2 linked regions of the Anolis sagrei genome follow. Each later gene encodes a partner of the first gene's protein in a complex. Links are inferred from orthologs where the notes say so. Each region holds a gene or a part of one and is shown on either strand. Other genes may lie near its edges.

Region 1 (7,221 bases):
AATACCTGGAGTTGTGAGGCCACCACACTTTCCAGGACTTTGCCCCAAAAGGGGAGTTTGGAAACTGGCCGATAGTTGACGAATTGAGTGGGGCCCAGTGATGTCTTTTTCAAGGGAGGCATTAACCACCACCTTCACCCACTTGGTCAATCCTCCTCTGTCTTTTCTTTTATCAGCCAGGATGGGCAGGGGTCTAGGATGCATGTGGTCGCTCTCATTCCTCCAAGTATCTTGTCCACATCCTCGGGTTTAACTAGTTGAAATGAATCCAACAAAATCGGACAAGCAGGTGCTCATGTTACATCCTCAGAGACTGCCGTTAAACATGGTGTCCAGTCAGTAGTTGGTGGAAGCATATGCTACCAACTTAGTTTACTCAGGATATATCTACACTGCATCTTATAACTGCCATGGCTCCATGCTGTGGATTCTTGCTGTGGATCCTATAGTTTAGTGAGGAACCAGCACTCTTTGGCAGAGAAGGCGAAAGACCTTGTAAAACTACAGCTCTTAGGCTTCCATAGCATTGAGCCATGCCTGTTAAAGTGGTATCAAACTGCATTCTATTAAATGGATGCACCCAGGCTCTAAGATGGTAGAAGATCCCTTTGCGTGCTGACATGCCTAACTTCTGTAAGCAATGGTGATAGATAGTCCCAGTAGTCATGAAATCTGCTGGCAGATGTTTTTTACCTTTTCCTGTTTGGCAATTGAGTTAAGTACATTCCTTTTATTTTCAGAGTAGTACAGCATTGTTCTCCTTAACGGATGTTTGGATGGGGCAGTGATACAGAGAGGATTTGCTGGCTCCTTCCTACTTTTCTCTTCTGCATTGCCTTAAGTTACATTACTTTCTTATCTCAAAACAACGGGATCCTTCAGTAGATACCCGTTTTCTATAAATTGTACAATTTCCATATTTGTTTCTGGCAATGTCGAACTGCAAATTCATGATTATTGTTTTTTAAGCATCTCCATTGAAGTTGCAATCTAAACATACTAAAAAATAAGCCTGATTGAGTGCTGTGGGAAGTAACAACTAAATATCCATGCATTTAGGGTGATATAGTCTTTCTCTATAGATAGTGACAATAAATGTGTTTGAGCTAGGTGTCCCCACCATGTAACAACAACAACAACAACACACAGTCCTAAACACTTGGGAAGTGTTTGACTTGTGATTTTTGATACGAAATCCAGCAAATATGCCTCATTTGCTGTGTCATACTGTCAGTAAAATAATAATAATAATAATAATAATAATAATAATAATAATAATAATTTGTCAGTGTTGCAATCCCAGGTGTCAGCAGGATTGACAAGAAAACTGGAAAAGCTTGTACAATATGAAGATTTAAAGATAGAACTGCAAAGACTCAGTCAAAGTGGTCCCAGTGGTGATCAGCACACTGGGTGCAGTACCTAAAGACCTTGGCCTGCACTTAAACACAATCGGCGCTGATAAAATTATCATGTGTCAGCTGCAAAAGACCACTCTACTCGGACCTGCATGCATTATTTGCCGATACATCACACAGTCCTAGAAACTTGGGAAGTGCCCGACGTATAATCGAATGCAAAAGCGAGCATAGTGATCTTTTTTCCGAGTACTAATCTTGTATCAAATAATAATAATAATAATAATAATAATAATAATAATAATAATCACACAGTCCTAAACACTTGGGAAGTGTTCAGCTTGTGATTTTGTGATACAAAATCCAGTGTATATATCTTGTTTACTGTGTCATAATAATAATAATAATAATAATAATAATAATAATAATAATAAAGATCTCAACCGGCATTTGGAAAGAATAAACATTGACAAAATCACTATCTGTCAACTACAAAAGGCCACCTTACTTGGATCTTTGCACATCATTCGAAAATACATCACACCGTCCTAGACGCTTGGGAAGTGTTTGACTTGTGATTTTTTGATACGAAATCCAGCATATAGATCTCATTTGCTGTGACATACTGTACTTTTGTGTCAGTAAAATTAATAATAATAATAATAATAATAATAATAAATAATTAATAATACTTTATATACCATCCTTTTGGGGAGATTTTGTTGTTGTTCACTCGTTTAGGATGGTACATAAATAAAATGTTGTTGTTATATAGGGCCAGGCTGTAGCACAGCTGGTTAATCACTAGCATCAATAAATCACTGCCGACTGGAAGGTGGCAAGTTCAAAGCCCGAGTTGGGTTTGAGCTCCTGACTGTTAATAACCCAGCTTACTGTTCACCTAAGCAGTTCAAAAACAGCTGAGCTGTGAGTAGAAAAATTAGGGACCGTTTAAAGCGGGGAGGTTAATTTATAACACCATAAAAATGCCACAGATCAAAGAAGAAATACTACGATCAAACGCACAGCGTCATAGTGGATGAAGTGACAGCTCCCTCTGTGGCTGGAATCGAGCAACCTTCAGGAGCCGAAGTTGGAAAAAAAATGCTGAATTACTTCTATCTGTCTGTATGTCTTGTATGTCTAAAAGCAGCATGGATTGTTTGCCGTACATGTGTGCATTCTGATCTGCCCTGGGTCCCCTTCGAGGTGAGAAGGGCGAAATATAAATACTGTAAATAAATACATATGGTGGGGACACCTAGCTCAAACACCTTTATTGTCACCATCTCTACTCCCAGGTGAGTGTCCAAATAGGGGGGATAACAGCATGCAATGTATACGTTTTTTGATCCTGCATAAAATGTCAGAACAAATAATTCCTATTTTCGGAAGATAAATGAGCAAACCAGTGGTACAATACATAGTTCGGACACACTTGTCTGTCTCTTCCCAGTTATGATTATCAGTAAGAGTGAAGTTGCCTCATTGCAGAAGTTCATTGTATTTCCTGCCAAGAAATATAAGTAAGTTTTTCAAGATAGCTCGTGGCGCATATAATCAGAGAAGAATTTTTTTTATTCCCTTCCTGTTTTGGCTGTAAAAAAACTAGGGCTGGGCGGTTTCGTTTCGTTAATTCGTAATTCGTTAAAAATTCGTTATTTTTTTTATAACGAAGCGATAACGAACCATTCTGGAGCAACTTAAAAATGAAACAAATTTTTAAATTCGTTTCGTAAATGCTTCTTGATTCGTTATGTATTCGTTTCATTATCGGTTTGAGGTCATTTCGTTATTATTTCTGCATGTCTGGGGCAAGTTTTATAGTTGTTTTTTGTTTAATTAGTGAAAAAAAATTATAATATCACACCAACAGTCAACAACAGAGGGAGAGGGAAGCTTCAGAAGTTCCCCCTGTCCCATTTGGAGGTATTTTAGCGTATTGCGCGGTCGCGACCGCCATTAACGAATCGATTCGTTATTGTTATTTGTTTCGTTAATGTTTCGTAATTTTTTTAACATTTACGAAATTTCGTAAATATTGAACTTTTTAAAAGAAAAATTTCGGAATTCTTTTAAATATCGAAACGCAAAAACCCCAAAAAAATGAATCAATTTTAGAAACAAATTTTTCCATTGTTACCCAGGCCTAAAAAACCCCCAAAACTTTTGACTTCAAATGAGTGACGTCATAGAGGACAGAAAGGGAGGGGCAAATAACCTAATATGATTGGCTCTTCGTTTTGTCACTCCACCCCTTAGATAAATGACTGCTGACCTTCCACACAGCAGAATAAAATCCCACATAATCTGCTCTGAACCGGATTTTTTTGGCAGTGTGGACTCAGATAACCCGGTTCAAAGCAGATATTGTGGGATTTTCTGCCTTGGTATTCTGAGATATAGGGCTGTGTTGGAAGGGCCCTGAAGAATGTAGAATTAATGAGGTTTGGCACCACTTTAACTACCATGACTCATGGGATTTGTAGTTTTAGGTCTTGAGCCTTCTCTGTCCAAAAGAAGGCTTACCAAACTACAACTCTTGGGACCATACAACCCAGAATATCAAGGTAGAAAAATCCCACAATATCTGCTCTAGACTGAGTTATCTGAGTCCGCACAGTTCGAAGCAGATAATGTGGGGTTTTATTCAGCTGTGTGGAAGGGGCCCCAGCATCCATAAGCACTGAGCCACGGGAGTATGAAGCGGTGTCAACCCGCATTGATTCTACAGTGGAGACGCCCCCAAGTGCGGGAAGCGCCTTTGCGTCAGGAGTGGAGGGACACGCGTCACGTCTGAAGGGCGGGGCGAGACCCGGGAAAGCCCCTGCGGGGCGGCCAAAGGAGCAGGAGCTGGAAAGGCGAGTTTCCAAAGAGGAAGGCGGCAGAGGCGTCTCTCTTGAGTTTGAAGGGGTTGGTCTGGATGGCCTTTGGGGTCTCTTCCAACTCTTCTCTGAGTCTGTAAAGAAGGCTCTCTCTCTCTCTCTGCCGGGATCCCCATGGCCAAAGGCGGCGAGGAGGGAATGGACCCCCCCGAATACATCCACGGCATCCCCGCCTGGGTCCTGGAGGACTTCTGCCAGAAGATGGACTGCCTCCACGACTACGACTGGATGCGCTTTGGTGAGCCCTTTTGGTGGCCTCTCTCGGGGTGCAGCCACACTGGAGCTTCCCCCCGCAGCTGCTTAAGAATGTTCGAATGCTGAGGCTGGCCAGTCAGAAACCATATGTAAATTAGTAGGTCGAGATAACTCATGCATGGGCCAACTTGGGCTCTCCAGGTGTTTTGGACTCCAACTCCCACCATTCCTGACAGCCTCAGGAATGGTGGGAGTTGGCAGCTGAAGGGGAAAAGGAAAGGGTCTGAGGCTGTCAGGAATGGTGGGAGTTGGAGTCCAAAACACCTGGAGGGCACAAGTTGGCCCATGCCTGCTATAGACCTTGTAAAACTACAACTTTCCAGGATTTGTTTCCATGCTTTTCATGATTACACGGAGCACCGTTACCTTCCCACAGAAGCAATACCTATTGATCTACTCACATTTGCATGTTTTCGAACTGCAAGGTTGGCAGAAGTTGGGGCTAACAGTGGGAGCTCACTCCACTCTCTGGATTTGAACCGTTTTGGTCATCAAGTTCAGCAGCTCGGTGGTTTAACCCACTGCACCACCAATTTAAGATACAAATTCAACTTAAGATCAAACCTGCCATTCATAACTTGGGGACTTCCTGTATGTGCTACTACAGAAATCATTCACTTGTTATTCTTCCCACTTTTTATCCAGATAACGCAGTATTCCCCCTTACCTTTATCCACAATCAGAGGATTGTAAGAGATGAAGGTGATATGAAAAATGTCATTTGTGCCCTTCTGTTTACCAGCCTCAGTCTCTGATTGATTGATTGATTGATTGATTGATCTGTTATTTCCAGCAGGCCTGTCCTCCAAATATGTTTATCTACTACTACTACTACAAAAAAAATTAGAATGTAATAGGCAACTTTCCTGCAGCTGTAGACCAAACATGTGCAGCCTGGGGACTGTTGTTGAGGGCCTTTCCAGGAATTTCTGCCTTGTCTGTCATCTTAGGTGAATCTATCACAGGGCTTTCCTTGCAAGGTTTGTTTGGAGAGGGTTTGCAATTGCCTTCCTCCAGGGGCTGAGAGTGTGTGACTTGCTCAAGGTCATCCAGTAGGTTTACATGTCGGAACATGTCTGGTCTCCAGAGTCCTAATCTAACTACGTTTTGCTAAACAAAGAAGCTGCATTCAAACCTGAATTTCAAGCTACAAGCTTGGGGTTGTAATGGTTGTTAATCAAATGGATGGATGGAATATTTCGCTTTGCAATTCATTCTTTATTGAAGTATTTGAATACCTTGGTTTATTCAGCTTTCACGCCTGAGAGCATCTTCAGGTTCAATGGAAGTTGTCTTATACTGAGTCAGGCCTGTTTGTTATCCTGTCTGACAGCCTCTTTCCAGACTTTCGGACAGAATTGTTTCCTAACTCTACCTGGATCTGGTCTGCATTGAACCTGAAACCTTTGCGTGATTGGTAATTATTATCTTAAGACTCACACCCATTCAATAAACCTGTAAGTTAAGTGCAGACACACAATACCTGTTTAATTTATGAAACCGGGTGTCATGCAAGAATTGAGATGTCATGGGAGCATCGGGAGTCAGCAACAAGCCTGCCTCTCAGGAGATTCGAGGCCAAATTTCCTTGATTGGAGCCTTGAAAGGGTTAGGGTTTTTAGCTTAAATGCTGCTAACATTTTAATTTGGGAAATAAAGGGTATGTGTACCAAGTTTGGCCCAGGTCCATCAAGCCACATAGAAGCCTTTGAGGTACAAACACACATGCGTACGTATTTTCACTTTTATTTGTATAGATGAGTCTATTAATAGGATGAATATGGAGAAAGCCTTTCAGAAGTGAAGTGGAAAAATTGTGTTGCATCTGAGTTCTCCTTTGTGGTTTCTTTGGGAAACATCTGGTTATCCAGCGCAGCAAGCAGGATGCTTAACTAGATAATAGAGTTAGGAAACGTTATCATTGTGGACTACAGTTCCCAAAATCCCCCAGAAACCAGTGTGGCCACCAGGGAGACAATGAGTTAAACCCTTGTGCCAGCAGGACCGAAGACCAACAAGTCAGAGATTTTAATCTGGGGAGAGCTCCCTCTCTCAGCTTCAGCTCTCAATGCAGGGACATGAGAGAAGCCTCCCACAAGGATGGTAAAAACATCAAAACATCCAGGCGTCCCCTGGGCAACGTCCTTGCAGATGTCCAATTCTCTCACACCAGAAGCGACATGCCGTTTCTCAAGTTGCTCCTGACACGAAAAACAAAAAACCAGGAGGGCTCTGAGTTGTGGTCCAAAAAAGTAATTTTTCCAAGCTCTTCTACACTCTTCAAATGCAGAAAATTTCTTATGTAATAAGAATTTTTGAAAAATACCTTTGTATATCATTTCTGTTTGCATAGTGGGCCACAGTGCACATTACTTGGAATTTGGATACCTGCAGCTGTATTTAAGCAAAAACATGAATTGCAAACTCAGATTTCCTAAGTGTTGTGTAGTTGGACCTGATTCTATTCTGTCCAAGTCAGACCATCTGATGAAAAGGTTGTTTAACTCATTTTCTTAATTTAAATAGCATTTGCTTTCTCTTCCATAGGAAAAAAAATCAAATATGTATTAACACAAACCTGTCAGTGTAACTGCATGAAAGTTCTGATGTTTTCATTCACTATTAGGAAAAATCAGTTTTGGGTCAGCAAATGTTGGCAAAGTCTCTAAAATACTATGAATAATGTATTACCTTCCCATGAAGGAAATTGCAGTCTTGCAGAT
Region 2 (7,950 bases), on another chromosome or scaffold:
GAGCTGCAGTAAATCACTACTGACTGAGAGGTCATGAGTTCAAAGCCAGCCTGGGTCAGAGTGAGCTTCAGGCCATTAGTTTAGCTTGCTGTTGACCTTTGCAGCCCAAAAGACAGTTGCATCTGTCAAATAGAAAATTTAGGTACTGCTTTATGCGGAGAGGCTTATTTAACTAATTTACTTATTTAACTAATTTACAATGCCATAAAACCTTCCAGCAGCATGCAGAAGCATGAGAAAGTACTCCATCAAAAGACTCGGTGTCACAAATAGACAGTGAAGCAGCACAGCAGCCCCCCGCCCCCCGGCCGGTGGCCAGAATTGAGCATACCCTGATGAAGCTGGAAAAGCTGGAATGTTAAATTGCTTCTGTATCTGTCTATATATATTGTATGTCTAATTGACATTGAATGTTTCCCATGTATATGTGCACTGTCATCTGCCCTGAGTACCCTGCAGGGTGAGAAGGGCGGAATATAAATACTGTAAATAAATAAATAAATAAATAAATAAATATAACAGTGCAAAACTTCATTTTATGGTCAGAGTCATACAATGCAGTTCAATGAAGTTAAACTGCATTATATATGTATCCATTCACCACATAATGCAGTCTGAAACGTTGATAATATAGATAAGGCCCAAGATTTACCAATAACACTATGTAACAAAATTTGAAAAAAATATTCTGTTTCTGGTTTGAAAGAGTTATTTGTTGTTTAATTGTACGCTAATTACTTTGAAAGTACTTGCTATACTCCAGAAACGTTTTTTGTGGTTGCCACAAACTATGTTGAATTGGTTAGAAATCTATAGAGATAATTGAAAAACTATAGCAAAGTGTGCTGCAGGATGTCCCGCAAAAACAGTTTTTGCAGTTCAATACACTTTCCCCATATTTCTATGATAGAACCAATTAGGAAATGACATTTATAACTCAGGAATATAAACTGCATTACATAATGTAAACCAAGCAATTTGCTCCCAAACTGATAACATTTAAAGGATTATCCATCAATTAGAATATATTTTAACACAGTTCCCAGATAAGGTAATATTATGCTTATCAGGGAGAGGTGTTGAGAGAACAACTGATATACAGTGGAGTGTTGTGTGGTTTTCGGGCTGTGTTCTAGTGTTGATATACACAATATAATGAACTGGTGGGCACTATAAAGCTTTTCCTGGGGGAAAATCCAGAGGGGAGGGAGAAAACCCTTTCTGTATTAAGAAAGAAAGTCTATTGTCGAAGGCTTTCATGGTCAGAATCACTGGGTTGTTGTAGGTTTTTTCGGGCTATATGGCCATGTTCTAGAGGTATTCTCTCCTGATGTTTCGCCTGCATCTATGGCAAGCATCCTCATAGGTTGTGAGGTCCTCTAAGGATGCTTGCCATAGATGCAGGCGAAATGTCAGGAGAGAATGCCTCTAGAACATGGCCATATAGCCTGAAAAAAGTACAACCCAAAGAAAGTCTAATTTTAATGAAACCTGGCAAAATCTTTAAATGACAATATATATATCATAGAAACCAGTGTGGTGTACTGGTTTCTATGACTCTGGAGATCACAATCTAAATCCACACTTGGTCATGATGCCCACTTGGGTGTCTTTGAACAAGTGACACTCTTTCTTAACCTCAGAGGAAGGCAAGCACAGATCACTTCTGAAATGCTGTTGCCAAGAAAATCCTGTGCTAAGTCCGTCTTAAGGTCACCATAGATTGGAAATGACTTCAAAGCACACAACAACAAGGAGGCTGGATTCTGATCCAGATAGTGGGAGCCTGCTCAATGAAAGGAGCCAAACAAGTGGCAGTTTACTCCACAGTGCTTAACCAGAGCAAGCAACAGTGTCCACAGATAGATAGATAGATGCACACACACACACATACATACACACCCTTTTATATAACTAACAGTTGTTATGATTATTTCTTAAAGGTTAAAGATCCCTTTGACATTAAGTCTAGTCGTGTCTAACTCGGGGGGGGGGGGTGCTCATCTCCATTTCTAAGCTGAAGAGTCGGCATTGTCCATAGACACCTCCAAGGTCATTTAGCCAGTATGACTGCATGGAGCGCCATTACCTTCCTGTCGAAGCAGTACCTATTGATCTACTCACAATTGCATGTTTTCAAACTACTAGGTTGGCAGAAGCTGGGCCTAACAGCAGGAGCTCACCCTGTTCCTTGGATTCGAATTACCAACCTTTCGGTCAGCAAGTTCAGCAGCTCAGTGGTTTAACCTGATGTGCCATCGCGAGTTCCTCTCAAAAGTTAAAGACATTTATATTAAAGAACTAGCCGTCCCCTGCCACGCATTGCTGTGGTCCAGTCTTTATATATGTTTTGTGTGTATATATATTTGCGTATATGTGTGTTTGCATATGTGTGTGTGTGTGGTTTTGCACATGCGTTGTAATGTAAATTTTGTTTTTTTAGCTTTTTAAGTCTCTTCTGCTGTGTTTTTCAGTATTTTTATGAGTAATGGTCACTTGTTGGCCTGATAGGTGTATGGTGTCCAAATCTGGTGTCAATTCGTCTAGTGGTTTTTGGGTTGTTAATCCCACAAACAAACAGAATACTTTTATTTAAATAGTTGTTATAACAATAATGTAATCGGTGCTAAAAATTCCATCTTAATTTACCATTTTATGTTAGGTGTTCGAATCGCCATGATTGTGCAGTCATGCACACTGCTCACACTGTTGAACCAAAGTCACAACGTTTCTCTTGTCATTTCACAACACTTCTCTAGAACATATATGGAACTCCAAAATCCAAAAATACTCCAAGATTCAAGATTATCTCATGGGTGGCTAAAACAGAGGCCCCTTTGCTTTCTGATGGTTCAGTGTACCCAACCTATGTCTCATGCACAATATTATGAAAAATAGAAATAACTTTGGGCAGTATTTTTTCATGTCAGAAATGATTTGAGAAACTGCAAGTCACTTCTGGTGTGAGAGAGGCTTCTCTCGTGTCCCCGCATGGGGAGCTGGAGCTGACAGAGGGAGCTCAACCCGCTCTCCCCAGATTCAAACTGCTGACCTGTCAGTCAGCATGTTCCGCCAGCACAAGGGTTTAACCCATTGCACCACTGGGGGATCATACTTCGGGCAGTGTATAAGGTGTACATGAAACATTAATGAATTCCATGTTTAGACTTGGATCCCAAAATATCCCATCACGTCCATATATAAAAACACAGGTGTACATAAAACAATAAAGAGTCTTATCCCTAATTAGGCTCAAGGCACCAGATGCTGTCTGATCTTGGAAGCTAAGCAGGGTCAGCCCTGGTTAGTACTTGGATGGGAGACCACCAATAATGAGTACCTGAGCCTGGGATTGGCAAAACCATCCTGAATACTGTTTGCCTAAGAAAATCCTACGATGCTATGCCATAAATCATTACAGAAGGGTGAATACATTTTGGAGAGACACCATAAATATAAAGGCATTTAAAGGGTTTGTGTGCCTGTTCTGGCTAAACCAGGACTTTACAATACTGAGCACAGCCCTGCTGTTCAAAGAAGAAAAAAGAGGGAGAGGATAAATGGCATAGCTCACCCTTTAAGGTCCCCGAAATGAGCCTTTCCCCAGCTAAAGGGCTCCCCCATTTACTTTCCCCTTTGGCTCCGCCCACTTGCTTCCCCATTTGACTCAACCTGGGAACTTCCCCGCTGTCACTTCCCTCTAATCTGGCGCGCCCCTGAGCGCTCCAATTCCACGCATGCGCATTAGCTCCTCTTCCCTTTAGGACAGGCCCATTGCGGAGGAAAGCGGGTGGGGACGCTTCCTTAAAACCAACAGAGAGGCTGATGAGGGGAGCTGCACTTCATTTTATCCCACACTTCTCACTTACATTGTGCTTTCTGACTCGTAGAGAGGACTGGCTGCTTTGCTTGGTTTATTTTTTTGAGTTTGGGCCATAATGGTATCGGCCAAACTGGAAAAGGGAGACCATTCCGTTTCTCACTATGAGAGCCACCCCTAATCAATGACAGTGGTATAGTCTGCTCACTTGGCCACGCCTCCTAATCTTCCCCTGCGGCGAGTGGCAAATGGAAGATCCCTTTGGAGACTGGGATTGTGTTTGCAGAGGAGCCTTCCAAAGACATTTAAGAAAGGCAGGAGTTGGGGTATTTTTTTTTTTTAATCTGCGGGGATCTTGATCACAGAATCTGTACAGGTTGAGTATCCCTTATCCGAAGTGCTTGTGTTTGGGATTTTGAATATTTTTCTCTCTCCAGATACCTGCATTTTCAAAAACGTACATAATCAGACATCTTGCAAATGAGACAGAAGTCCAAGCACAACCATTTATTTCTGTTTTATATATGCACATAATGGTCTGCACAATATTTTTTTCATAGTATTGTTCATAAAGTTTGTGTGTCCTGAACCATCAGGAAGCAAAGGTGTCACTATCTCAGCCAGCCATGTGGACGAGTTTGGACTATTTTGAATCAGGGTGGCTCAGTTTGTATTCCTAGTCCTCCCATATTTATTTATTTATTTATTTATTTATCAGAAACGAATTGAGGATACAGTTATACTTAAAAACACAAGCAAAGTTAAAAACTTGGCACTATCCTAAATGTCTTTTGACCAGAAGCTGGCCACTGGTGTCACTGTGAGAAGGTCCTCCATTCTGCATGTGGCAGGGCTCAGGTTGCATTGTAGTAGGTGGTCTGTGGTTTGCTCTTCTCCACACTCCACTTTGTAGCCCCGTTTCTTAAGGGTGGCTCTGCATCTCGTGGTGTCTGACCGCAGTCTGTTCAGCGCCTTCCAAGTCACCCAGTCTTCTGTGCACCCGGTGGGAATCTCTCATCCAGTTCAGCCATGGCTTGATTTTCTTGGTTTTAGCTTGCCTCTTTTGAGAATGCTAAGGTGTTCCTGCGAGTATCTCTGTAAATCTTAGGAAGCTATTTCTTGATTTAAGGCCTTAGCTTGCTGACTGATAGCCAAACAAGGCCGGAGATGTCAATGTCTTGGTCCTTTCATTACTGCCTGCTACTTTCTGACAGATATCAGGTAGTGCAATACCAGCTAAACGGTATGATTTATCCAGCAGAGTAGTGCGTAGACATCCTGTCATAATGCAGTATGTTCTGGAACAGCTGTTCCAGGAGCTCCAATTTTATTTCTTTGGATTAAATGTTGCTTTGCAATCCCAGGCTTGGGATTTTGCAGCAGGGTGGCTTCCTGTTATAATTTGCATTCATAGGGCAAGCCACCTGTCAATAATAGTTAGGATCCCTGGTCTCGCCCCTCTCTGGGTTTTTTGTAGGGAAGGGACCATTTTTCAGTTAGTCTCAAAAAGGAAGTCAATGCAGAGGATGTACACAAACGTCCTGTGCAAAGGCTTCGTCTCTTAAGACTTCCCGGGGGAGAACAGTTTTAAGAGCCTCTACAGATTCCCAAAGGGTTCCAGGGAAACAGCTTTACAGCCCTGAGGACTTCCAGAGGGAATAACAGCTCTGCTCATCTCCAGCTAAGTGATTACAGGCCTGTTGGGCCTGCTAGGTTCTGAGACGCAGTTCAGCCGGTAGTGGACTCAAGTCAGTTAGGTTTAGGTTCACAACAGCCTGGGAGGAGCTAAAAGGGGGAATTTTCCTTCGAGCAAAGTTTTGAAGATAGTGCCTGTTTCCTGTAAACAAGATTGCAAGAGCTAATAGACTGATAAGAAAGTTTACAATTCCTGTTTGTTCATTAATAAAGAACTGTTATATTTAAGCTCAAGCCTTATAAAGACTGCTTAATAAGGGGATTTTTTCCTAAAGGCTTCTTTTCGGGCCCCCTGGCTTCCCGCTGGATGCAAGCCTAACATCCTCTCTTAAAAGCACTTCATTTCGGCTCCAGCTGCGACAGAACACAGTATGTCTCCTTAAGAGCCACACCCACTGTTTTAGCATGGTGAGATGTATTCCACACTGGCCATGCATATTAATAATAATATAATAATCTTAATGATAAACTTTATTTATATTCCGCTACCATCTCCCTAAGGACTCGGTGTGGCCTACATGAGGCCGAGCCCACAATACATCAATACAAGCAATAACAACCACAATATGAAACAAAATACAACTACTAATACAAAGCAATTAAAATAAATCTCATACACAAATAGCATAAACATTGAACAATAGCACAAAACACATTTAAAACTATGGCTGGGCCAAATGTAATTAAGTTGAAAAATAATGCTGGGCATGAACAAGATAGAGGAGGTGGGGCGTTGGTGGAAACGAACAAGCAGTCCTAAATCAGTATAAAGTGCTAATAGAAGACAAAATGCTAAAGGTTCACTATTCATCAGCAGAGTAGCAAAGCGCAAGGGCAGATGTCTTCACTGTGTCTGGTTGTGATTCCCAGGTTGTGCCAGTCAGCTTTCATATGATATTATTTCTAGCACCCACTTTTTGCTTGATATTTCAGGTATTTTGGTGTGCTGCAATCCTCCAGTGGAATTCCTTCCCAGGCAGTCCTCAGAGATCAAGATGCTTGTCTGTTCTTAAGGTGAAAAGCACATGTCTGTGTCTTAGATGGATTGGGAATCAGCTGGTTTTGCCTGTAATAGGCAGTAAGAGCACCTAAACCTTCCATATTCCAATGGAGAGGGATCGGAAAGATCATTTCCAATGTATGGCTCTGAAAAAGCAGGGTATTTGTGCAGGAAGATTTGCCTCTCCTGGTTTTTATTTTCTCATCAAGTGTTCAAATCTTGGGCTATAGGTGTCAGAGTTTTATATTGTTTAGGTCATTTCTAAAGTGAAAAATGGGTAAGTGAGATTGTAAGAATCATGTCCAATCATTGTATGGTCAGCAACAATCAAGCCACCTGTGGGAGTTGAAGTACTAATAATAGAGACTAAGTACATTGTGTTACTCGAGGCTGGAAATAGGTTGGAGAAAGATTGAAGATTGGAGAGAGAGTTTGGAGCCCAAGGCTGAAGTTGCCAGAGGTGTAATATCATTACAACGTCTGAAGAGCAAGACTGTGGCGTCTTATTTGGAGATAAGGACTTTGTGTTTACAAGCCATTGTGTGGAAGCAGCTGAATATTCTAAGGATGCTGCTTCATTTGTAAATTCCTTCATATAAATATTTCTTTGCTAAAGGACAGTTTCTTTTTGTTGGGTTTTTTCCTCCTTGGACGAAGGGCGCAACTTCCACAGAAGGGGTTGAATGTTTGGAACCCCAGTTTGATAGCTGCAACAATAGCTTCCATTATCTCTGAGTCAGGGATGCTGACCATGCAAATAGGAGTTGATGAGAGTTGTGGTCCAGCACCATTAGCCCAGGATTAGTCAAATGACAGCAGCAGTTCCCAAACTCTAGTTCTCCAGGTTTGGGAATTAATGCAGTTCAACACCACTTTAACTTTAAATAATTAATAGTATATAATGTTTAAGGAACCTTGCCATAAGTCCAAATTGACATGATAGTAAATAGCAATGACTTCAGATTACATAGAGTACATTTTAAATTTTTAATGTAAAATAGGTATTAAAATATGTTTTTAAAATGTAATGGCTGTCTCTAAATTTAGCTTTTCACAGCCTATCACATCCCCGACATCCAGATAATATTCTGAGAATTAACTTGATCTTTTTTGTTACTTTTTCTAGACTATCTAATACTGGAATGGAAGAAGACTCTGGCACACCCGTAACACATGACTCTTCCACTTATGTGAATGATCATGTTGGCTTCTGTGGCTGTATCAAAACCTTTCCAAGTGACTTTGTTGTGACAGAAATTAATATGCATGGACAGTTGGTTAATGAGATTGCAACGGACTGTCTTTCTAAATCTGGCGGAACCTTGTCAGACCAAAGCAGGAGCTGTCAGCAGGATTCCAAAAGACTCAGGCTGAGTCCTTCAGAGCTGTGCATAGAAGAGGAATATTTCAGAGAACACGATGGGGATGTTCATTG

Evidence for each region.
Region 2: the proteins of IRAK2 (region 1) and IRAK4 are in contact, whole or in part, in a crystal structure (PDB 3MOP), measured with the Homo sapiens proteins. The link is inferred for Anolis sagrei from reciprocal best matches to the Homo sapiens genes IRAK2 and IRAK4. Residues at the interface, in NP_001561.3 of Homo sapiens: Tyr6, Ile36, Lys44, Met48, Glu59, Trp62, Trp63, Trp64, Gly65, Met66, Arg67, Gln68, Ala69, Gln73; in NP_001107654.1 of Homo sapiens: Asp24, Phe25, Pro28, Gln29, Lys34, Glu92, Phe93, Phe94, Ala95, Pro96, Ser98, Val105.

Annotation. Positions count from the first base shown.
Region 1 is NC_090022.1:49,808,263-49,815,483, forward strand, and holds the start of IRAK2 (interleukin-1 receptor-associated kinase-like 2), read left to right. Parts: upstream 1-4,146; 5' UTR 4,147-4,357; coding exon 4,358-4,481; intron 4,482-7,221. UniProt on the Homo sapiens protein: Binds to the IL-1 type I receptor following IL-1 engagement, triggering intracellular signaling cascades leading to transcriptional up-regulation and mRNA stabilization.
Region 2 is NC_090025.1:137,127,818-137,135,767, reverse strand, and holds the start of IRAK4 (interleukin-1 receptor-associated kinase 4), read right to left. Parts: upstream 3,081-7,950; 5' UTR 2,653-3,080; coding exon 2,650-2,652; intron 123-2,649; exon of another isoform or gene 1-122. Other genes in the region: pseudouridylate synthase PUS7L, read left to right, coding at 7,658-7,950.